Canis lupus familiaris: one gene and its partner. The protein of the gene in region 1 interacts with the protein of each later gene in a biochemical or structural test. Links are inferred from orthologs where the notes say so. Each region holds a gene or a part of one and is shown on either strand. Other genes may lie near its edges. The genes, in order: XIAP and MAP3K2.

Evidence for each region.
Region 2: of the proteins of XIAP (region 1) and MAP3K2, one has a biochemical effect on the other in vitro, tested with the Homo sapiens proteins (2 studies listed by BioGRID, with this or other methods). The link is inferred for Canis lupus familiaris from reciprocal best matches to the Homo sapiens genes XIAP and MAP3K2.

Annotation. Positions count from the first base shown.
Region 1 is NC_049260.1:96,091,390-96,103,783, reverse strand, and holds the start of XIAP (E3 ubiquitin-protein ligase XIAP), read right to left. Parts: upstream 9,972-12,394; 5' UTR 9,964-9,971; coding exon 9,087-9,963; intron 8,022-9,086; coding exon 7,922-8,021; intron 6,919-7,921; coding exon 6,852-6,918; intron 5,756-6,851; coding exon 5,713-5,755; intron 1-5,712.
Region 2 is NC_049240.1:24,625,751-24,638,144, forward strand, and holds part of MAP3K2 (mitogen-activated protein kinase kinase kinase 2), read left to right. Parts: intron 1-2,478; coding exon 2,479-2,609; intron 2,610-3,452; coding exon 3,453-3,532; intron 3,533-5,158; coding exon 5,159-5,226; intron 5,227-5,386; coding exon 5,387-5,482; intron 5,483-6,505; coding exon 6,506-6,712; intron 6,713-7,733; coding exon 7,734-7,882; intron 7,883-8,260; coding exon 8,261-8,392; intron 8,393-12,394. UniProt on the Homo sapiens protein: Component of a protein kinase signal transduction cascade. Regulates the JNK and ERK5 pathways by phosphorylating and activating MAP2K5 and MAP2K7. Plays a role in caveolae kiss-and-run dynamics.

The DNA of each region.
Region 1 (12,394 bases):
TGATATGGGACTCGATCCCAGGACCCTGGGGTCAGGCCCTGAGGCAAAGGCAGATACTCAACCACTGAGCCACCCAGGCACCTCTATTTTATAGTACTATTGAGATTAATTGCTCTAAAGGCTGAAGAAATAGTGCAAGATTAGGTAAAACCAGTAAGAAAAAGTTAAGCACTTCAAAACCCAGAACTTTTTTTTTTTTTAATTTATTTATTTATGATAGTCACAGAGAGAGAGAGAGAGAGGCAGAGACAGAGGCAGAGGGAGAAGCAGGCTCCATGCACCGGGAGCCCGATGTGGGAATTGATCCCGGGTCTCCAGGATCGCGCCCTGGGCCAAAGGCAGGCGCTAAACCACTGCGCCACCCAGGGATCCCCAGAACTTTTTTTCAAATCAGTTGTATTCACAACTAACCTAAGTATGTAAAGAGTGGATGTCTTTCTCAAGTCACTAGCAATTATTCTGGAAAAATCACAGGAAATAGGGGGAAGTCCCAGTCTCTGACCCTGAATGTGTGAGTTTCCCATCTCTGAGACTTAGTTTCTGCAGCCCAGGGGAGTGACAATAAAATGAATAGAAACTCACTTTAATGGTACTCAAAGTAGAAATACAGGTTATGTAGGGAACTGATAAAGAGGAGACTTACATTCTCTGATTCATCAATTCTATTCTCAAGTATCAAAAATAAGGACAAAGGTTCATCAAAAACATGCACAAGAATATTCACAGCAGTGTCATGTATAACAGCCTCAAATAGGAAATAACTCAAACATCTATCACCAGGGGAATGGATAAGTAAATTGGGATATTGAAACACTACAGAGCAAGCAGAAAAACGAACTATTGCCACAGAAACATAGATAAGTCTCACAGATCTGATGAACAAAATGTCATCGTAATGATGGACCAGAGACAAAAGAATACACTGTATGATTACATTTCTAAGATGTTCAAATCTAATCTATGGTTAGTCAGAACATAAATCAGGGACAGATATTGATTGGGAAAAGGGCCTGAAGGAGTTTCTGGCCTGGCAGAAATGTTATTTTTTTAAAAAGATTTTATTTATTTATTTGAAAGAGAGAGAGAGAGAGAGAAAGCACACTAGCAGAGGAGGGGCAAAGGGAGAATCAGACTCCCAGCTGAGCAGGGAGGGGGTGGGGCTCAATCCCAGGATCATGACAGGAGTTGAAGGCAGACGCTTGGCCAACTGAGCCACCCAGATGCCCCTGTTCTATATCTTGATTTGGCTGATGACTACACAAATAAATGCATGTAAAAATTCATTGAGTTGAATACTTAAGTCTATTTTAAGCATTTTATTGTATATGTATTATACTTCAATAATTTTTTTTAAAAAGAGGAGCTGGAAAGGGATTTGATTATAAGAAATATTACATAGTAAGTAACAAAAGTAGGAAAGTACCTTAAGATTTTTTTTTAAATTTATTTATTTATGATAGTCACACAGAGAGAGAGAGAGAGAGAGAGAGAGAGAGAGAGGCAGAGACACAGGCAGAGGGAGAAGCAGGCTCCATGCACCGGGAGCCCAATGTGGGACTTGATCCCGGGTCTCCAGGATCACGCCCTGGGCCAAAGGCAGGCGCCAAACCGCTGCACCACCCAGGGATCCCAAGATTTCTGTTTGATAAAGAGAACACTGTTGTATGGTTATAATACAGATAAAAGACCATTTATGAGACTACTAAAGAATCTGAATGAGAAATAAGGGCAGAAAGTAGGGCAGAACCAGTGGATTTTAGACAATATTAAAAAGGCTGAATTCATCAGACCTGGTGGTTAATTAAATGTAGAGGGATTAAGGAAAGCAAAGAGCTTAAAATGGCTCAAATTACTGGGCGACCTTGTGAACTATTAAACTATTAACGAATGTTGGGGGGGGGGGCGTGCAAAGAACAAGCCTGGATTCAGTCTGAGTGATTTTTAGAAATGCTGAATTTGAGCTGCTTTTAAGATTTCCAGGTGGAGATGTCCAGAGGTCAGCTGGACATCACTCTTTCGTGGTTCTACTTGTTTTTTTTCCCAGCTTGTTTTGCTGGCTCCTTCTGCTCACCTGATTAGACACTGGTGGTTCCCTTCCATTACCTCAATGATCCCCTTTTTAACAATCTCTCTGGATACTTGCCCCACTACCACAATTTTACCCTTATTTATGAGTTCCAGGTTTTAAGACCCACCTACTTGGATACCCTGCAGGTATCTCAAGCTTACTTTGCTGAAAATCAAAAGCATGGGCAACAGGATATCCATATAAAAAATAATTAGAAGGGCCCCCACTTTACACACATACAAAAATGAACTTGAAATGGATCAAAGACCTGAATGTAAGAGATAAAACCATAAAACTTGGGGTGCCTGGGTGGCTCAGTTGGGTAAGCACCTGCCTTTGGCTCAGGTCATGATCTTAGGGTCCTGGGATCAGGCCCCACAATTGGCTCCATGTTTGGCAGGGAGCCTGTGTCTCACTCTCCCTCTGCCTGCTCCCACTGTCTGTTCTCTCGCTATCTCCCTGTCAAATAAATAAAACTTTTTTAAAAAGATTAAAAAGTAATAAAATTATTAGAAGAAAACATAGATGACCTTGGATTAGGCAATGGTTTCTTAGATATAGCCCTGAAAGAATAAGCAACAAAAAATAAGATAAATTGGATTTCATCAAAATTAAAAATTTATATACTTCAAAGTATATCAGCAAGAAAGTGAAAAGAACGAGTGAAAATATTTACAAATCATATATCCGACAAGGTACGTAACTGTAAAAATATTAGAATATATAAAAAACACTTACAACTCAATAACAAAAAAATGAATAACCCAACTAAAAAACGGGGAAAGGCGATGAAGAGACATTTCTCCAAAGACATACAAATGGCCAATAAGCACATGAAAGGATGCCCGACATCATTAACCATCAGGGAAATGCAAATCAAAACCACAATAGGATACCACTTCACATCCACTAGGATGGCTATAAAAAAAAAACATACAAGGGGTGCCTACGTGGCTCAGTTGGCTGAGCATCTGCCTTAGGCTCAGGTCATGATCCCGGGGTCCTGGAATTGAGCCCCGCCATTGGGCTCCCTGCTCAGCCAGGAGCCTGCTTCTCCCTCTCCCTCTGCATGCGCACTCTCTCTCAAATAAAGAAATAAAATTTTTAAAAAACATATACAATAACAAGTGTTAACAAGGATATGGAAAAACAAACTGGAATCCTTATATACTGCTAGTGGGAACGTAAAATAGTACAGCCGCATTGGAAAACTGGCCATTTATCAAAAGTTAAATGTAGAGTTACTACATGACCCAGCAATTCCATGCTGAAATATATACTCAGGCAAATTAAAAACCTATGTCCACGCAAAAATTTGCACACAAATGTTCATAGCAGCATCAATATCATTCATAAGAGCCAAAAACTGGAGACCCAAATGTCTACCAACTGATGAGTAGATAAACAGAACATGGTATTATCTACACTAAGGAAACTTTTTCTACCATAAAAAAAGAATGAAGTAATCATGTATAAGTACCACAACATGGATGAACTTCAAAGCCACATATTATGATTCCATTCATATGAAATGTCTAGAATAGGTACATCCAGAGAGATAGAAGTAGATGAGTAGTTGTCTGGAGGCTGAGGGGGAAGGGGCAGCAATGGGGAGTGGCTGCTAATGGATACAGGGTTTCTTTTTTGGGATTATAATAATGTTCTGGAATTAAATGGCAGTGATGGTTTGTTCCACAACCTTGTGAATTTACTAAAAACCACTAAAATGTACAGTTTATAAGGGTGAAATTTTTGCTACATGAATTACACATCTCAATTTTATTTTATTATTGTTTCTTTTCATATCTCAATTTTTTTAAAGACTTATTTATTTATTCATGAGAGAACGGGGTGGGGGTGGGGGGGAGACACAGGCAGAGGGAGAAGCAGGTTTCCTGCAGGGAGCCCAATGTGGACTCAATCCCGGAACCCAGGATCATGCCCTGAGCTGAAGGCAAATGCTCAACCACTGAGTAACCCAGGCATCCCAATAAATGATTTCTTAAACTTTATTATTTATGCCCATTTCAAAATCTGTATCAAATATTATCAAAGTGGCTCTCCTTCTTAAGTATATTTATGAATACTTATAGTTTTCTCTTGTCTTGTAACCCTTAAGATACCAAAAAGATGATGGTATAAGGAATGGGGAATCAGCAGACATATTCTAAATTACACTTTCTACTATTTTTGAAACATGATGCCTAAGCTGGAAATGAGATCCACAGTGTGATGCAGATTTCAGAAGACCCCGTTAATAGTCCCAGTTCCACTAATGATTTGTAAATGTAACTGTGGGCGGGTCACTTAACCTCCTGGTCTCTGTTTCAGCATCTGAAAAGTGGAGATAACAATATCATCTTTGCTTAACATAGTATCTTTCTGGATTTTTAAAAAAAAGATTTTATTTACTTATTCATGAGAGACACAGAGAGAAGGCAGAGACATAGGCAGAGGGAGAAGCAGGCTCCATGCAAAGAGCCCGATGTGGGACTCCATCCCGGAACTCCGGGATCACACCCTGAGCTGAAGGCAGATGCTCAACCGCTGAGCCACCCAGGCATCCTGGTATCTTTCTGGCTTTTAAAGATGTTTATGATGAGTAAATAATCTTTGGGATAAAAATCTCTACCTTTCTATAAGGTAAGAGAAGATAAACTGAACCATGCCCCTCTGTGAAGAAACTGGGGGAGGCTCAAGAATGGCATGGGATAAGGAAGCAGGTAGGGCCGACCATGGTGATGGCACATTAGTACAGCACTGGATTCATGGTCCTGGCTAACTCAAGAAGTACCTGGGACAAAAATACACTTATCTCTCTTCCTTTGGGGATTTTAACAGAAATGGCAATGGACAGCCTATAGCTGCTCCTCCTAAGCTTGGAAAAGCTAACTGCACAACCGCCATAGGAATGTCCTTTCTTAAAATTTTATTTTTACTTTACTATAATTAGTATCATTTTATGTAATGTATATAATTATATAACTTATAATATAATTTAGTATAATTTAAATTTTTCCAGTACAATTAATGTACAGTGTTACATGAGTCACATGAATGTTCTTACTATATAAATATCTGACTTAAAAATTTTTTTAAAGATTTTATTTATTTATTCATGAGAGACACAGAGAGAGAGAAGAGAGACAGAGGCAGAGACACAGGCAGAGGGAGAAGCAGGCTCCATGCAGGGAGCCTGAAATGGGACTCGATCCTGGGTCTCCAGGATCACGCCCTGGGCTGAAGGCCGTGCTAAACCACTGAGCCACCTGGGCTGCCCTGACTTAAAATTTTTAAAAAGATTTTATTTATTTATTCATGAGAGACAGAGAAAGGGGCAGAGACATAGGCAGAGGGAGAAGCAGGTTCCCTGTAGGGAGCCTAATGTGGGACTCGATCCCAGGACCCTGGGATCATTACCTGAGCCAAAGGCAGATGGCTCAACCACTGAGCCACCCAGCTACCTATAACTGACTTAAATTTATAGGCACTTCCTAATCCTTAAATTTATAGCAATCTCATCTCAAATAAATCTACTTTGATTATCTTGAAAAAATAAGCTTATGTCTCTACCCTATAAAAAAACAACTGTAATAAACTGCTAATGAAATTAAAAGTATATTTATTTTAATGTACATACTTACCAATTCTTTCAGTTAATGACCGTGTTCTTTCAGCAGTTCTTAGCTGAAATAGAAATATGGACTATAAGTTAGAATTCTTTTTGGTAGAAGATGATTACCTCAATTTGAAAAGTTACACTAATCATGAATTTATAAATTGGCTTTATTCCAATTCAACATATGAATGTTTGCAAGAGGCATAACCTGATGAAGCTAGAAGGAAGGTTTTTTTTTTTTAAGATTTTTAAAATTTATACATGAGACACACAGAAAGAGAGAGAGGCAGAGACACAGGCACAGGGAGAGAAGCAGGCTCCATGCAGGGAGCCTGATGTGGGACTCGATCCCAGGACTCCAGGATCACGCCCTGGGCTGAAGGCAGGTGCTAAACCACCGAGCCACTCAGGGATCCCCACTAGAAGGAAGTTAAAAGATCATCTAACACAATCCACTCACTCTATAGACAGGGCACTGAGTCTCAGGGAGTTTAAACAACTCGATTGAGGCAAGGGAGCTCATGGTAGAGCCATAAATGACAACTCTGGCTTCCCATTCTAGTCCATGGCTCTTCCCACATGGTACCAATACCTTAGCCATCCCAGGCTGCCATCAATTTAGACACGCTTCTGAGATTTAAAATATTGCCTTTGGAAAGTTCACAATTATTTATGAGTATAAAACACATTATACAAAAGTCTAATTTCAGAAAGTTGAGGGATTAAGTATTTTAGTTCTTCAAACCCATTTTTATTTACAGTGAGTTAAATCAATCAGCTTATGGGGATTCCTCTTTCACAAAGCTACTTCAGGTTAAGAAATAACAAGCATTCGGGATCCCTGGGTGGCGCAGCGGTTTGGCGCCTGCCTTTGGCCCAGGGCACGATCCTGGAGACTCAGGATCGAATCCCACGTCGGGCTCCCTGCGTGGAGCCTGCTTCTCCCTCTGCCTGTGTCTCTGCCTCTCTCTCCCTCTCTCTGTGTGACTATCATAAATAAATAAAAAAATTAAAAAAAAAAGAAATAACAAGCATTCTTCAAGATCTCCCCTTTAAAGCCCACCATACATTATTAATTTAAGATACTATACTGTGAATTTTACACCAAGAAATCATTGCAAAACAAATTAAATAATATTTTATATTCTACAATATGTGACTTACCACTGAATGGGTTAAATGAATATTGTTTATATATTCTTGTCCCTTCTCTTCTAACAGATATTTACACCTAAACAATTAAAAGAAGGTTAAACTTTGGTAGCTGATAAATCAGTAAAGTATAAATACAGATATCTCCATTATCTTAATTCCATTAACTTCCTTTTTGGTATTTCTAAGAAGCTGCAAAATGAAATGTTATTTAATCTCTACCAACTGTCATTTCAAAGTTAAAGAAATACGTTCCTTTGTTATACTACTCTTTGGTAATCTTAGGCAAAAAATAACAACTTGAGAACTTCCAACCTTAAACCAAGTTATTAAATTTAAGATTTAATTTTTTAAATAGTTTAATTTTGTTTAGAGGATTAACCAACTACACACTCTGAAGGAACTCCTTAGGCTTTCAACCTTTCCTTTTAAGGCTTTTTAAGCTTAAGATTTATTTTCAAACAATCGCTCTGAAGTTTTAAATTGTACTAGTTTGTAGGTCAAAAATTTTACATCACTTATATGTATGAATATTTTTAAAGAAACAAGATGACAAAGAGACAGAGTATGTTATTATCATTCTAAGATGCCACTGATTATAAGAAGGATGATTATTTTATGTACCACCGCTGCCAATTAAATTATGACCCACCACCAGATGTATCATTTCAAAAATTTGAAAATGTGAACAATTGTGTGTCTTATAATCAGAGAGATACAGTAAAATTTGCTAGGGGATGTGATGGGTTCCAAGGAAAAAATCCTTGGCAACAAGGGCTCTCCCGTGGTCATTGTGAAAGAGCCTACTTCTAACAACAAAACTATATATTCCTAATTAGTGTTTAGAAATAGAATAATTTGAATGTCATATATATAACATATAAGCAATGAATGCTTTGGTCACCAGAGAAGGCTTAGGGCCTTTTTTTTTCTATAAAGTAGGTGACCCCATTTTTATAAACTTGGTGTGAATTGCAAGCCATAGTGAAGGCAAAAATAGTTAGGTGAAAAGTTATTCAAGATTTTCCTGACTGCAAAGTGTCTAACTTGCCTGTTCCTAAATAAACATTTAAATACCTTACCCTGGAAACCACTTAGCATGTTGTTCCCAAGGGTCTTCACTGGGCTTCCAATCAGTTAGTCCTCCTCCACAGTGAAAGCATTTTACTTTATCACCATCCCCTAAGAAGAGACACAAGTAAAAATACATGTATTTGTGCAATTAGAAGCCTATGCAAAAATGCCCCTTTAACACCATGAAATTAACCATTTTAAATTACATGAGAATCTCAGCTTCAAAGACGACATTCAAATTCACATTTAAATAACAGCCATGACTGTTTGAGGAGGGAATACACACTAAATTCACTGATTCAATTTGAGGTATTTTACAGAAGACAAAATAAATTGACCAATTTTTATGTGAAAAATTAAAATTGTTATCATTTGGGTCTACCAATACTACACTTTTTCAAACTGTGAAACTTTAACAATAAGGCTCAGGTTAACAAAATTACAAAGTAAGTTTCTCTAGGGTTATAGCTACATGACACTAAACAAACCTTCAAAATTGCTACAGGATACTATGTGAATAAAATATTGAAATAACTAATATTTTGTATTTTGGCACTACTCAATCCTAAAGCTAATGAGTCAGATATATGATGGTATAACTTTTCTGAATATTCCTGGAAGTCATCACACTAAGGGCCCTTCCTGACAAGTTTACAGTAGTCCATTTGAGAAGTGCTTATTTAAAAAAAAAAAAAAAAAAAAAAAAGAGAAGTGCTTATTTGAAGCAAAAAGGCATACAGGGCAGCTTTCAAATATAAACTCTATGTACAAAAGGCAGGTATCAATTTTAATATCAGCCAAACTAAACTCTCTAATGTTAACTCTTTTTATGAGGTATAGAAAGAATGCATGTGATACATGTACTGAGCACATACAGTAGGTGCTCAATAAATTATAGTTTATATTACTGTCAGACCCATTCTTCTATCTGGGAGATCTATCATCTTTTGCATGTAATCCTTCTCCAAAAAAACAAAGATAAATATAACTCACAATATAGTAGTCCTTTTTCACATAAATGTAGTAGTTACACTGCAAATTCAACATAAAGGTTCACAGATTAATCATGCCAGCCTTTATTTACCAGTTCAGGGGGCTAAAGGAATCCACTTTTTAGGGGGACTGGGATAGTTGGAAAGTTATTTATTAGCCTGGTTTTATAATAAAGTTTACCTAAAGAATAAAATCCAGCTCTTGCAAGTTGCTCCTTGTTAATTGAACACATCCACATCCGAAAAGTAACGATCCGTGCTTCATAATCTGCCATGGCTGGATTTTCTGGAATACTTGTTGAATTTGGGACGTTCCTATCAGTACTCGCAACATCAGATTCACTTCGAATATTAACATTCCGGCCCAGAACAAAGAAGCAATTAGGAAAGTGTCGCCTGTGTTCTGACCATGCATTATCACACGGTTCCCAATTTTTCAGTTTTCCACCACAACAAAAGCACTGCACTTGATCGTCAATACCTGTGTAGTAGAATCCAGCACTAGCTAACTCTCTTGGGGTCAAGTGGACATAGTCTGGCCAGTTCTGAAATGAGTTTAATCTAGCTTCTTCACTATACATGGCAGGGTTCTCCGGGTATGTGGTGTCTGATATATCTACGACCTGTCCAGTTCTCAAAAGATAATCTGCATGAGTCTCAGATGGTCTGTCTAAAACAAAATGATCTCTGTTTCTCAGATAGTTTTCTGCATTATATTGACCATTTTGGATACCTGGATTTGTAGGTTGTGCAGCAGTGTTTTCAAAATAAAAGCCATTGATAAATCTGCAATTTGGGGATACTTTCCTGTGTCTTCCAACTGCTGAGTCTCCATATTGCCATCTATCTATTGATGCATGACAACTAAAGCACCGCACAGTATCTCCTTCACCAGTATACAGAAAACCAGCTCGTGCTAACGTTGATGCTGAAACAGGACTGCTACTTGGAAAATTAGCAAAAGTTTTTAATCTATTAAACTCTTCTACAAATTCTTCATCCTTATTGATGCCTGCAGGTACACAAGTTTTAGCTCCTTCAAAACTGTTAAAAGTCATCTTCTCTTGAAAATAGGACTTGTCCACCTTTTCTGAAAAGAGAACATTACATTAGAAAATTCAAAATCTGAAACACAGGCAATATAATTTTGATATTAGGAGCTAACAAATTACCTGATGACATAAAATTAATTACACAATCTCTAAAAAAAACATTCTAATTCCAAATACTAGAGCTCTGCATTATATGATTCAAGCTTTATAAAGTAAAAACCAGCATTTTCATTTTCTGGAGGAAAGTAATATTCAAGCAGGTAGAATAAAACTGTTCTTTAATTGATTACTTTATGTAAATATGGAAACTGTGATACAGAATATATTAAAATTATTAACCATGTAAAATTATTAATTAGGAAAAACAAAAGCATAAATTATGCAGATTATTAAACTCTATGCATAATTGTTATAATAGATCATTATATATTCAAGCCATCAAAGTTCAGTTTTTCAATTTAAAAAAAATGTTCAGAATGTTAATGAATTAATTTTTATTATTTCTTTACTTTTCTGCTTAGCAAAAGGTATTTGAGTTTTACTCACAACACTGGTTCCAATATGAGCATCGAGTGTTTAAGAGCACTTGAGTGTTTCTGATTTTCATGCATATGAAAATGGGACTCCTGTAGTCCATTTTCTGTGGGAATTGGATCATTTCGGATGTATATATTACTGCCCTCTAGAGGGTAGCTCAGGAAAGATAGTAAGTATGTATAGACCTTAATTGCAGTAAGTTTTGCTATCAACTTCCCATGGTCGAAAAATGATCTGTTCAAATGGAAGAGAAGTACTACTGCAGCCTCATTAAAATTGCCACATTATAGCTGTGTAACATATAACCGAAATAAAATACTAAAGGAACTAGGTGGGTTATGAGAAGGGTGGCCAGATAATTTATCCTCCAAACCTGGACACTTTGGAAAGTGAAAAATGATGCTACTAATAATTACACTAGGACAACAGGGATAAATCAGGGTTGCCCCAGGCAAACCTGATTCTCTAGAATCTCGCACTATTCCTAATACTGTGTGTGCTCAGTATATGTTTGGCAAAAAAAAAAAAAAGAAAAAGAATGGTCATGATAATTCTGCCTCTACTTCATATGTCAATTAATTGATTTCTTGGGAAGAATTAGCAGCCCTGGCATTATGTTAGCACAATATGTCTTGGAACATCATTTCAGTGTAATAATGTTCAACACAAGTCTTGCAGGGTGGCAATAAACTTCAGTCTTTCCTGGTCTTGTCAATTTACAATGGTAGTAATTCATATATACCGCAAGAGCAGAGATATATCTGCATAGAACTATTTTTGGAAGATAGTCTCCATGACTTTTCATTATTGTTTCCCAGATGTCTGAAAACATTTTGACACTAGCTTCAAGACCCCTTGTTCAATGAGCATAAACTGGATGATAATAACCAAGGCTGTCTCATAGGCTGAGATGAAATTTAATAGGGATATTAAACATTACATTCTGACTTTAGAAACCTGTGGCACAACTAAAGGAAAATGGAAACTTGGTTTGGAAAGAAGTCATGTGAAGCCAAACCTCTAGATTAAAATCTTGGGGGATCCCTGGGTGGCGCAGCGGTTTGGCGCCTGCCTTTGGCCCAGGGCGCGATCCTGGAGACCCGGGATCGAATCCCACATCGGGCTCCCGGTGCATGGAGCCTGCTTCTCCCTCTGCCTGTGTCTCTGCGCCTCTCTCTCTCTCTCTGTGACTATCATAAATAAATAAAAATTTAAAAAAAAAATAAAAAAAATAAAATCTTGGGATTTTAGTTAATTAAAAATTCCATTATGAGGGGTGTCTGGCTGGCTCAGTTGGTAAAGCATGAGACTCTTGATCTTGGGGTCGTGAGTTCAAGCCCCATGTTCAGCACAGAGCTTACTTAAAAAAATTCATGGAGTGCCTGGGTGGCTCAGTCGGTTGAGCATCTGCCTTCAGCTCAGGTCATGATCCCAGGGTCCTGGGATTGAGCCCTGCTTTGTGCTTCCTGCTCTGCTGGGAGTTTGCTTCTCCCTCTGCCCCTTCCTTCCTCCACCCACCGGTGATCTCTCTCTCTCTCAAATAAATAAATAAAAATTTTTTAAAAAATTCATTATGGGGGATCCCCAGGTGGCGCAGCAGTTTAGTGCCTGCCTTTGGCTCAGGGCGCGATCCTGGAGACCTGGGATCGAATCCCACGTCGGGCTCCCAGTGCATGGAGCCTGCTTCTCCCTCTGCCTATGTCTCTGCCTCTCTCTCTTTCTCTGTGTAACTATCATAAATTAAAAAAAAAATTCATTATGAGCCAACATTACATGGCTACTAAAAAAGAAACTTAAAGCAACTCCAGGCTGCATTAATGTCCAGATGTACAAGGCCCAGATCCAATTCAGTTACACATTGAATATTATCTTCAGTACTGAAAACACTTCAGAAAGAACA
Region 2 (12,394 bases), on another chromosome or scaffold:
GGACTTGATTCTGGGACTCCAGGATCACGCCCTGAGCCAAAGGCAGACGCTCAACCGCTGAGCATCCAACTGTCCCGTGAAGGTTCTTTTTTCTCTACATCCTTTTTCTCCAGCTATTGTTTCTTGTGCTGTTGATTTATCCATTCTGATAGGTAGGAGATGATATCTCATCGTGGTTTGATTTACATTTTCCTGATGAGGAATGATGTTGAGCATCTTGTGTCTTTTGGTAAAGAAAATGAAATATGAAGAAATTCAAAGAAAAGCTAATTTGAAAAGATAAATACATCTTTATGTTTGTTATAGCATTATTTGCAATAGCCAAGGTATGATGCAACATAAGTGTCTGTGGATAAATGAATAAAGAAGATGTGGAATATATACACAATGCTATATTACTGAGCCATAAAAAAGAATAAGATCATTCCGTTTGCGGCAACACGGGTGGACCTAGAAGGTATTATGCTAAGTGAAATAAGTCAGACAAAGACAGATGCCATACAATTTCACTTATATGTAGAATCTGAAAAACAAAACAAATGAATAAACAAGCCAAAAACCAGAAAGATACAGAGAACAAATTGGTGGTTGTCAGGGGATTGGGGGTTTGGACAAAATAAGTGAAGGGGATTAAGAGGCACAAACTTCCAGTTATAAAATAATAAGGCACAGAGATGAAAAGCACAGTGTAGGGAATATAGTCAGTAATATTGTAATAACATATGATGATGCCAATTACACTTAACAGTGGTGAGCATTAGAATTGTCAGATCACTATGTTGTATACCTGCAACTGTTACAACATTGTGTGTCAACTAGACTTTAGTTAAAATAAAAGAAAAATGTGTTATCAAGTAAACAGATTTTGAAGAAACTTTATAGCAGTTTTTCTTCCCTATCTCCTTTTAGTAATGAGTATATTGATCTTCTTTTATAAAGAAGGGTATATGGAAGGAATGAAAATGCTTAGGACAGTGTGATTATAGCTGTTACAAAGCTTAAGTAAACCCCTGGCCTGAAGCTGAGTTCTTAATTATTTCAGAGTCAAGTAGAAAGTTGATCTTTTCTGTGCATATCTCTTGGTAATTATTTTGTTCTCTTTTTCCCTATCTCCCCACTAACAAATGCTGGCATATACCTATAGCAACTTCTTTTTTATAAGCAGAGCCTTTTTGCTTTATTTTGTTTTTTGTTTTTGTTTTTGTTTTTTTTTTGCCTTTTTGCTTTAAATCTGACCCAAACTTAAATGCTCACATAACTTCCCCATGTCTTTTTTTAAAATTGTTTAATTTCAAAATATTGAGAGAAAAGGAGAGACCTGTGTTAATAAACATAACATTATTTCTATAAAGCCAGGTTAAAAATACAGTGGATTATTGTTTCATAAGAAACAATGGGATTAGTTAGATGAACTATATTAGATTTTTTGAACTGTAAAGAAATTTAAATGCCAGGAATCTGGCTTGTCATAAAATCTAATTTTAAAGTACCTAAGAATAAAATTCAGAATTCCAATTTGGAAACACTCTAATATGACCTTTTAAAAGTGATTTAAGCAGTAATCTCACTTTAGGTTTCTAAAGGTTAAGGAGAGGGAATGGAAAGAGCATGATGGAGCCAAATGGTCATAGCATATGTTCAGTATGAACAATTTTACTATCACAGTGCCCTTGGAAAGGAAGGATTTAGTCTTTGTTTACCCTGAGTGCTGGCTTTATGTATTTTTAAATCTATTTTTTAAATTCAAGTATAATTAACATACAGTGTTATGTTAGATTCAGGTGTACAATTTAGTGATTCAGTAATTCTGTACATTTCTCGGTAGTCATCAAGATAAGTGTACTCTTAATTCCCCTTACCTGTTTCATCCATCCCCACATCCACCTCCCCACTGGCAACCATAAGCTTGTTCTCTACAAGAGAAGGGGTTTAGTCTTATGTTGACAGATGAGGAAATGGGTTTGTGGGGATTGGGTAACTTAACCAAAGACATACAGTTGGTAAATAACTAGAACTGAGATTTAAACAGGTCTAAAGTCCACATTCTTTCCACTACATTATGATGCCTTCCATATGTTCTGTTAAAGGGTAACATATCTAAGTAAAAGTGACCCTTGGAAGTTCAGAAGTGGTGGCATCTAAAAATCTTTATTATAGTATCAGCCCCATAATGCCATTGTCAGCAGTTAGAGGAACATACTACCTAGTAAGTATAAATAAATATTGCAGTGAAGTTAATAATTATAGTAGGGTTGGGAGTTTAGAAAGGTATAAATACATTTGAAGATTTATAGAAATGAATGTTCTTTTTTTTTTTTTTTTAGAAATGAATGTTCTGATAACTTTTAATAAAAACTGGATTTCAATAGCTGAAATTATTGGTATTATGGTCCAGAAATCCTGTGTATATATTTAATTGAAACAAAAATTAGTTCCCAAATGATATTTATAAAATTGTATAATTTTTTTTCCTTTGAGGTCCCACTAGTAGAGATAGAAGCTCCCCTCCCCCGGGATACATTCCAGATGAATTACACCAAGTTGCCCGGAATGGGTCATTCACCAGTATCAACAGTGAAGGAGAGTTCATTCCAGAGAGCATGGACCAAGTAAGCAAAAGTTGGATGTCATTTTTCATTTCATTTAAAAGGATGTCATAGGATTTGTGTGGTTTGTCTGGTGTCTTGTGTGTGTGTGTGTGTGTGTGTGTGTGTGTCCGTGTCCCCGTGTGTCCTCTTCCTCCCATCCTGTCCGTATCTTCCTTCTTAAGTGAACAGAATAGTAAAAAACATAGGAAAATGCTAACTCACTTACATGTGCCTCTGTGTATTCATGTAGAAACAAAGCTGGAATAAGGCTGGTTTTCTTATTTTGCTCATTAAATGCATTTGTTTGTAATCATGGGATTAACATTCAGATTTTTAATTAACATTAGAAAGATACAATAAAACTGCAGATATTTAACTATGTGAAGCTTAGGTTTGTCTACTTTGTAAAATATCTTTAAATGTTTTAGCAATATGGTAGTCATGGTGTCATTCTCAGTTTGAGTGGGGCTGTTGTTCAGTGTTCAGTAAGCAAAACTATGTGAAATCTTTTAGCTTTTAATTATTTAGCTAATAGTCCATAGAGAAAATATTTTTCTCTTAGGAGATTTTGAAGTCATAGCCTACCTACAAAAGGGACCACTACATTTAAAACATTAAAAAATGAATAACTCTGGGAGGAGGTGACTGCTATTGGATATGGGGTCTTCTTTTGGGTACTGAAAGTGTTCTCAGATAGTGGTAAGGGTTCCACAACTCTCAATATACTGTAAACCACTAAATTGTACACTTTAAATGGGTGAATTTTATGTTATATGAATTATATCTCAATAAAGCTATTTAAAAAAACCCAGTAACTGCTTGTTATATCACATTGAATCATGGAGGAACTCTTTGTTTTTCTAGATGCTGGATCCATTGTCTTTAAGCAGCCCTGAAAATTCTGGCTCAGGAAGTTGTCCATCACTTGATAGTCCTTTGGATGGGTAATATTGATTATAGTTTTTATTTTTTAGTATATGTGCATAAATGCATGTATATATATTATGTTAGAAGAGTGTAATTGATACTCATTACTTAGGGCAAATGAATTTTTTCACAGTTTGGACAAATCCCTTAACCTCTTGGAGCTCAGTATCTTTATCAGGTAAAATGATATCTGATTATAATGAGTATTTCTGTTTACCAAAATTGTGTGTTTGAAGCTAAATGCAAACTTAGAATTTATGTGTATTTACTTTTAAAACTCTGTTGGTGGGGTGCCTGAGTGGTGCAGTTGGTTGAGCTTCTAACTCTGATTTCAGCTCAGATCTGATGTCAGGGTTGTGAGATTGACCTCAATGTCAGGCTCCGTGCTCAGAGGGAAGTCAGCTTGGACTCCCTCTCCCTACCTGCCCTACCCCTGCCCTACCCCACCACCTGCAGACGTGTGTGTGTGTGTGTGTGTGTGTGCATGCACGCGCGCGTGCATGTTCTCTTTCTCTCTCAAATAGATAAAATTAAAAAAAAAATACATTTAGGGGCACCTGGGTGGCTCAGTGGTTGAGTGTCTGCCTTTGGCTCAGATTATGATCCCTGGGTCCTGGGATTCAGTCCCACAGCAGTCTCCCCACAGGGAGCCTGCTTCTGCCTTTGCCTATATCTCTGCCTTTCAGTGTCTCTCATGAAAAATAAATAAAATCTTTTTAAAAAAATGCATTTAGTTTTGGAGGTTTCTTGAGTTGTTTCACCTGTTCAGGATTATGTTCATTTTAGCACTAACTTATAGATAACTTATTTTTCTTGGTAATTGTGGCCCAGTATGTTGGCTGTCATTTAAAATTTAATACTTACGTTTTGTGAAATAGCTGTTCAGGAATATAAACTGGATGAAATTGCAACTGGATTTTTTGTTACAGGTGCTTCTTCTTTCCTGGTCTCAATAAAGACAGTGTTTACCTGTAGCATACAGAGTCCATAAAATGTGTACCTAGTTGATCTCATCTGGGATTTCTTTTTGAAGCAAATTCTGAAAATATAACAAATACTGTATAGGAATACACATTTAATTTTCATTTACCTGTACACACAAAACCTTTGTGCCCATGTCTATGTCAAGATAGGTAATTGAAACATTTAAGAAATTCAGGAAAATAGTAATGCGAAAGCTATATATTGAGCACTTAATATTTGAAAGACAGTGTCCTGAGCACTATGTATATACACACACTTGATGAGTGGGAAATTAATATCTTGTTTTTATAGATATGGATAGTCTCAGAAAGGTGATATGTCAAGGTTGCAACTGCTAGTTGAGTGGTAGAGCTAGAATTGAAACACAGTATTTGCCAACATCTGTAATTCCCAAACTTTTCATTTTTACTGCTATACCCTATAGGTTATTTTTAAAAGCCAGGCTTTTGCCTCTGTGCAGTAAATAAGTGTTAGAAAAGAAGTTTCTTTCAGTTAACATTTCAGACAGACCTCCTTTATTCTTAGTATTGCATACACACACACACACACACACACACACACACACACACAATTTCCACCACACATACATACAGATACTGATATTTTAAATGTATTTACATACTTTTTGCTCATTTAACACGACATTTTTTTATTTTTAGGGAGAGCTATCCAAAATCACGAATGCCTAGGGCACAGAGCTATCCAGATAATCATCAGGAATTTTCAGGTTAGACTATCCATATTCTAAATGTTTAAATATGTCATTAAATAGTGCTTTGCTGAGAGGGAGAAGGGAATTTTTTTTAAAAATGAATAAAAATGTGTAAATGTGTTTATTATTAGAGATGTTTGACTTTTTTGTAACATATAACTTTCTTATGTCTCAGTAGACTATGATAACCCTATCTTTGAGAAATTTGGAAAAGGGGGAACATACCCAAGAAGGTATCATGTTTCATATCACCATCAAGACTATAATGATGGTAAGTTTCTGGCAATTAGACCACAAGAACAGCTTGTTAAAAATCTCAAAAATAATCAAAATTTAAAAATATCATACTTAAATAAACCAGTAGAAATAAATTCATTCGTAAATCACTTACTTTTCTACTTAAAACAATTTTCGAAAGGAATTAACTAACTAAAACTGTAGTTACATCTTAGGGTTAGATTATTATTAGATGTTATTAAGTTGCCCTAAGGCAACTTACGTTACCTAGGGTTAGGGCAACTTACCTAATAATACTTACCTTTCCCTCAAAAGAAAAGGTGTAATTAAAGAATGATATTAATTAGAAAATTACTCCTTGATGATGAAATTCATACTTGCATTAAACTTTTATGGAAAAAATTGCTACCTATTAATTTTCCAATTTTTGTTCTTATAATTGGAAATGAGAATAAAGTACATTTTTTCCTCCTTCTTATCCAGAAGTGAGGGAGTACAATGATTTTTTTGAATGTATGCATGTTTTAACAAGAGATTGCTTGAATTTATATTCAGATCCTATTTTTTTATCAACTCTTCATTTTTGCTTTTTTAACCTTTCCTCTTCCTTGTATTTTCACTTTTGACTTCATGATCCAGTGTTAAAAAGGATATTCCCTTGAACTTTATTTTTTATTATTATTATTTTTTTAAAGATTTATTTATTTATGATAGACATAGAAAGAGAGAGAGAGAGAGGCAGAGACACAGGAGGAGGGAGAAGCAGGCTTCATGCCGGGAGCCTGACGCGGGGCTGGATCCCGGGACTCCAGGATCACGCCCTGGGCCAAAGGCAGGCACTAAACCGCTGAGCCACCCAGGGATCCCCTCCCTTGAACTTTAAAAGAAAATATTACTCTTAAGTTTAAAACATGTAATCAAATAACCATTGCTATTTCAGTGTCTTAACCTTAAATCTAGTCACAAGACAGACTTCTGTACCTTATGTCATAAATTTAAATACTTTCAATTATAACATGAATAAAAGTCCTAAGGTAATTCTGTTTTGATTTTGTAGGTCGTAAAACTTTTCCAAGAGCTAGAAGGACTCAGGGGACCAGCTTCCGGTCTCCTGTGAGTTTCAGTCCTACCGATCACTCTTTAAGCACTAGTAGTGGAAGCAGTATCTTTACCCCAGAGTATGATGATAGTCGAATAAGAAGAAGGGGAAGTGACATAGACAATCCTACTTTGACTGTAATGGACATCAGCCCACCCAGCCGCTGTAAGTAATAGAAATTGACACAGTGAATGTTTTGCAGAAAAAAAAAAAAAAATATATATATATATATATATTTTGTAGATCCAGGATTTTGTAGATTATAGATTATGTAGATCTGGGATTCTTTCAGGTATCAAATTCTTAAAAGAATTGCTTTTAATCTTTCTTGTAATGTAACTCTGCTGGTAATGAATTCTTTTAGCTTTTGTTTGAAAAAGGCCTTTTTTTCCTTTTATTTCTGAAAGATTTTTTTTTTCTGGGTACAGAATGCTGGGCAGTTTTTGTTTTTTGTTTTTGTTTTTTTTTTCTGTTAGTGCTTTAAAGCTATTGCTCCATTATCATCTTCTGGCTTTTGTATATTGTTTTGTTTGTTTGTTTTGTTTTTTTGTTTTTGTTTTTGTTTGCTTTTGTATACTTTTTGAGGAAAGGTCTGATGTAATGCTCATCTTTATTCTTCTGCATTTACTTAAAATTTATGTACATATATTTATGTATATATTTATTCTTTATTCTCCCCTCTGGCTGCTTTCAAGATTTTCTCTTGTTAGAATGAGACTGATATTCTTTATAGCTTTCTACATTGTAAGCAGATGGAAAACTAATTACAAATATTGCTGCAATAAACAACTGGGTGTTATACTATATGTTGGCAAATTGAATTTAAATAAATTTTAAAAAGGAAATTAGAAAAAAATGCAAAAAATTATTGCTGCAGTAAAGATTAAAAATAGTGCATCTGACAATCAGTGGTACCTTGGATTCAGTGAAAGATGCTTTACATTTTTAATGGGGAGCAGATATAATCTCACTGGAAAAAAGATGTGGGGATATATGAACCTTATTTGTGTTTAGAATTCTTGGAAAATTTACAAAGTGGTGATCATTATGAATTTGGATGATTATGATTTTCCCTTATATCCAAGTGTATTCAGTTAAGGATATCATTAATACAGTTTACTCATTTAGTTTGTAACTATTTGTGTGCCATCTGGCTATTCCATTTTAAGAAAACATTCTTTTTTAGCACCTCGTGCTCCAACAAACTGGAGATTGGGCAAACTGCTTGGCCAAGGAGCATTTGGCAGGGTCTACCTCTGTTATGATGTCGATACAGGAAGAGAATTGGCAGTTAAGCAAGTTCAGTTTGACCCTGATAGCCCTGAGACCAGCAAGGTAAGAATCACTGCACAAGCTACTTTGTCACATTTATAAAAAGCATTTTTACTAAATATAACACAATAGAATTTTTGTTTTTTCTTAATACAAATTATTTGCAAAACAAATCCATATATAATTAGATATATTTGTTTACTCTGTACTGTGATTTTTTTTTTCTCTTTTAGTGCTCCGTAATGTTCCTATCTAATTTAGGGTTGCTTTAGTATACCATCAAGGACTGTTATAAAAGTTACTGTTTAGAGACTTTAAAATGTTTATTCCTTGGGAAGTAAAAATTTCAGAATGAAATCACCTCGATGGTCCATGAAGTTCAAATGTTTTCCTTTTAACTAGCAATGCTATAAAGACTTAACAGTGAGTTCTGTCTTTCAGGAAGTAAATGCACTTGAGTGTGAAATTCAGTTGTTGAAAAACTTGCTGCATGAGCGAATTGTTCAGTATTATGGCTGTTTGAGGGATCCCCAGGAAAAAACACTTTCCATATTTATGGAATATATGCCAGGGGTAAGTTGTTATGTCCTTTAAAAATAGACATTTTCTCTTTAAAGTCTTAGTTGAGGAAAGAAAAACAACAGAACTCTGATTATAAAATGTAAAGTAGTTAAGGACTTTAAAGACATTTTGAAAGTTTTAAATTAGAGCTATGTAATATAATTTTTTTTTGTATCTTCATTTTGTAGTTCTTAACTCATTTAAAAAAAAAAAAAGCTGAGGTATACTAAAGTTATAGGTACCATAGCAGTCCATACTCAGATTTCCCTAAATGCTCTTAAAATAACCGTAATAGCTGGTTTATCCAAACCAGGATCCAGCCCAGGACCACACATTACCTTTAACTGTTATGCCTCTTACTTCTCTTTTAACTTAGAACATTTTTTACATGACATAGGTTTGACAAAGAGACTGGGCTAGTTCTGTTGACAATCTCCTCTCATAGATTTCTCTAATTGCATCCTCATGGTAGTGTTTAATTTGTTCCTTTATTCTCTTATTTCCTATAAACTCCAAGTTAGATCTAATATCTAAATTAGATTAAGATTCAGCATTTTTTATTAGGTGCATCTGTGATGCATTCTAATGATGCTGTGCATCTCGTGTTGCATCGCATTAGGAGACATACAATTTCTAATGGTTCTACTGTTAGTGATGCAAAGATTGAGTGCTAGGTTAGGATGATCAACATCCAGATTTCTCCAATGTAAGGTTTTGTTTATTCCTGAGGACCAGAAAGTAATCTGGGCTATTAGCACATAAGACTATCTAGTTCCTGGGGTGCCTGGGTATTTCAGTCGGTTAAGTGTCCAACTCTTGGTTTCAGCTGACATCATGATCTCAGGGCTTGTGAGATTAAACCCTGCACCCTACATTCAGCTCCATGCTCAGTGGGCAGTCTGCTTGAAGATTCTCTCCGTCTGCTCCTCCCCCAACTCACATACTCACGTGCTCTCTCTCTCTCTCTCTCAAATAAATAAATCTTTAAAGAATAAAAAGAACACAGTTTCCAGTTCCTTTTCAAACCATCCTTTTCCAGGTTTTTAATACAGATTGGTAATCATTGCCTGAGTCAGTAGTTTCGGTAGGAGCTGCAAAATGTGACTTGCAAACTGTCATTCCTTCTATGTTGTTTTTAGTATTTGTAGAGTACATTTTAGTATTAATGATTTTCAAGATGGTGGTATATTTACTCATTTAAAAATACATGCATTCGTATAATTTAATTGGTAGTATATATGGTATATTACCTGATTTGATTTATGGGTCTTTAAGTAGATTTTTTTAAAAGATTTTATTTATTTATGAGCGGTACAAAGAGAGAGAGAGGCAGAGACATAGGCAGAGGGAGAAGCAGGCTAACCGCTGAGCCACGCAGGTTTCCCTAAGTAGATTGTTTATTAGAATTGTATGTTTCATGTACAAGGTTGCAGTTTAAGCTATGGATCTGTAAAACTATGGATCAGTATCTGATAGTCATAGTCTTAATCATCCAGTTTCATAAGATCAACAGTTAAGTTTACTTTCTTATTATCATGAATAATTAATTAATTTTTTATAGTGACACAATTGTTTATAGTTACACATCACTGCTACTTTGTATTTTCAAAGATCCTGTTGACAAAGTAAATTAGTTTGTTTTTTAAGTACCTTTGGAAAACAAATTTGTGATGGAAATATCAGTACTCACAGTGAAAGTAAATTATGATGGCATTGCCCAAGAGAATATATTAAAATCACGAAGGCTATGTAGCAAAGTTGGAAGAAGTAAGAAAAAGAATATAAAATGCTTTTAAATAGTAATGAGGCTATTTTAAAAATATCTGTATTTGGACAAGGACCCAAGAAACTTGAAAATGTGTTATGTTGAGATTATGATTGATTTTTCTTTTATTTAGATTTCCATTACTGTTTGGGCAATAAATATCTGAATTAGAAATAAAAATTAAGGCATGCCTGGGTGGCTCAGCAGATAAGAGTCTGCCTTTGGCTCAGGGTGTGATCCTGGAGTCCCCAGATCGATTCCCACATCAGGAGCCTGCTTCTCCCTCTGCTTGTGTCTCTGCCTCTCTGTCTCTCTCATGAATAAATAAATAAAATAGTTTTAAAAAAAGAAAAATTAATTCTAAGTGTGAATAGAGACCCACATTATTGAAGATAAGATTAAATGGTTTAATTGGCTAGAACTGATTTACATCACAAATGGAGATGAGTAATCTTATAGATTTAGGAATCTTAAGACTAAGGTGGTGTATTCAGGAGAGATGTTAGTTCATGTTTCTCATTAACTTTACTTGGTTTTGTAAAGGCAGCTATCTCTTCAAAGTATAGGTTGTCACTGAAATCATTTTACTAAATTAATAATAGTTCATCAGTCTTAAAATGAATTACACATATGCCAAGCATAGGCATATATGGGCCAGATGTACATCATCTTAGACATTACTGAATTTCTAAGTTTGTGAATGATGCTATATAATTTTTCTCATTAAATTTAGTAGGATGGGGGTACCTGGGTAGCTCAGTGATTGAGCATCTGCCTTTGGCTCAGGTCGTGATCCTCAAGCCCTGGATCAAGTCCCCCATTGGGCTCCCCATGGGGAGCCTGCTTCTCCCTCTGCCCGTGTCTCTGCCACTCTCTCTCTCTCTCTCATGAGTAAGTAAATAAAGTCTTAACAAACAAATAAATAAATAAATTGAGTATGATCCATCTCTTTGTGCAACTAGATTTCATGCTTTGCCAAAATTGTTACTGCTTTTCAGTTTTCTCAAATACATTCTAGTCCTTAGTTTATCTAGAACTACTTTCAGAATAGAACCATAACGTTATTTTCAGTACCTGGACTAGCAGATGATTTCTCTTTTTGTGTGACACACACACACACACACACACACACAATTTTTAGCTGGTACACTACTTTGCAACCCATTCTCCTTGTTCACACTGAGGAAAATAACTTTTTTTTTTGTTTTTTTTTTATTTTTACATTTTTTCCTTTTCTATTATTTTTTTTAAGATTTTATTTATTTATTCATGAAAGACAGAGAGAGAGAGAGAGAGAGAGAGAGAGAGAGGCAGAGACACAAGCAGAGGGAGAAGTAGACTCCATGCAGGGAGCCTGATGTGGGACTCGATCCCAGGACTCCAGGATCACGCCCTGGGCTGAAGGCAGGAGCTAAACCACTGAGCCACCCAGGGATTCCCCGATAACTGTTTTTTTGATACGCAAGAGTAAATAGCGCTGATGGAGCTGTTAGCAGCTGTAGGCCATTGGTCCAACTGCCCAAAGCCCAGAAAAGCCTTAAGTTCACCAGTCATTTTGCTGCCTATGAGTGTTTGGGGGCTTATTATTTGGACAGCTCAGTTCTAGCTGTGTTGTTTTGTGTATTACTACAAGGAGAGACACAATTAGTAGACTGAACAAACAAGCCACGTTGACTTATAGGTATAGGTACTTGGCTGCCTAAGGCTTTCCACACATGTGTTTGCAAGTTTGAGTCAGTAGAATTAATCTTGCTGTCCCTTCAAAGATTGCTCATGAATAGCAGAAACAGCAAATGGTTAAGCATGTAAAAAGTCTAAGGATCTACTTTCATGTGACATAGTACACTGTTGGTCAAAACTCAAGGAAGGGCAGAATCTGTTTAAAAAAGAAAGATTGGGCAGCCCCGGTGGCGCAGCGGTTTAGCACCGCCTGCAGCCTGGGGAGTGATCCTGGAGACCCAGGATCGAGTCCCACATTGGGCTTCCTGCATGGAGCCTGCTTCTCCCTCTGCCTGTGTCTCTGCCTCTCTCTCACTGTCTCTGAATGAATAAATAAATCAATCTTTAAAAAAATAAAATAAAATAAAAAAGAAAGATTTTTGTCTCTCATAATCCTTACTGAATTTCCAAGTTTGTGAACGATGCTTATATAATTTCTCCCATTAAATTTAGTAGAATGGGGGTGCCGGGGTGGCTCAGTGGTTGAGTGTCTGCCTTTGGCTCAGGTCGTGATCCTGGGGTCCTGGGAT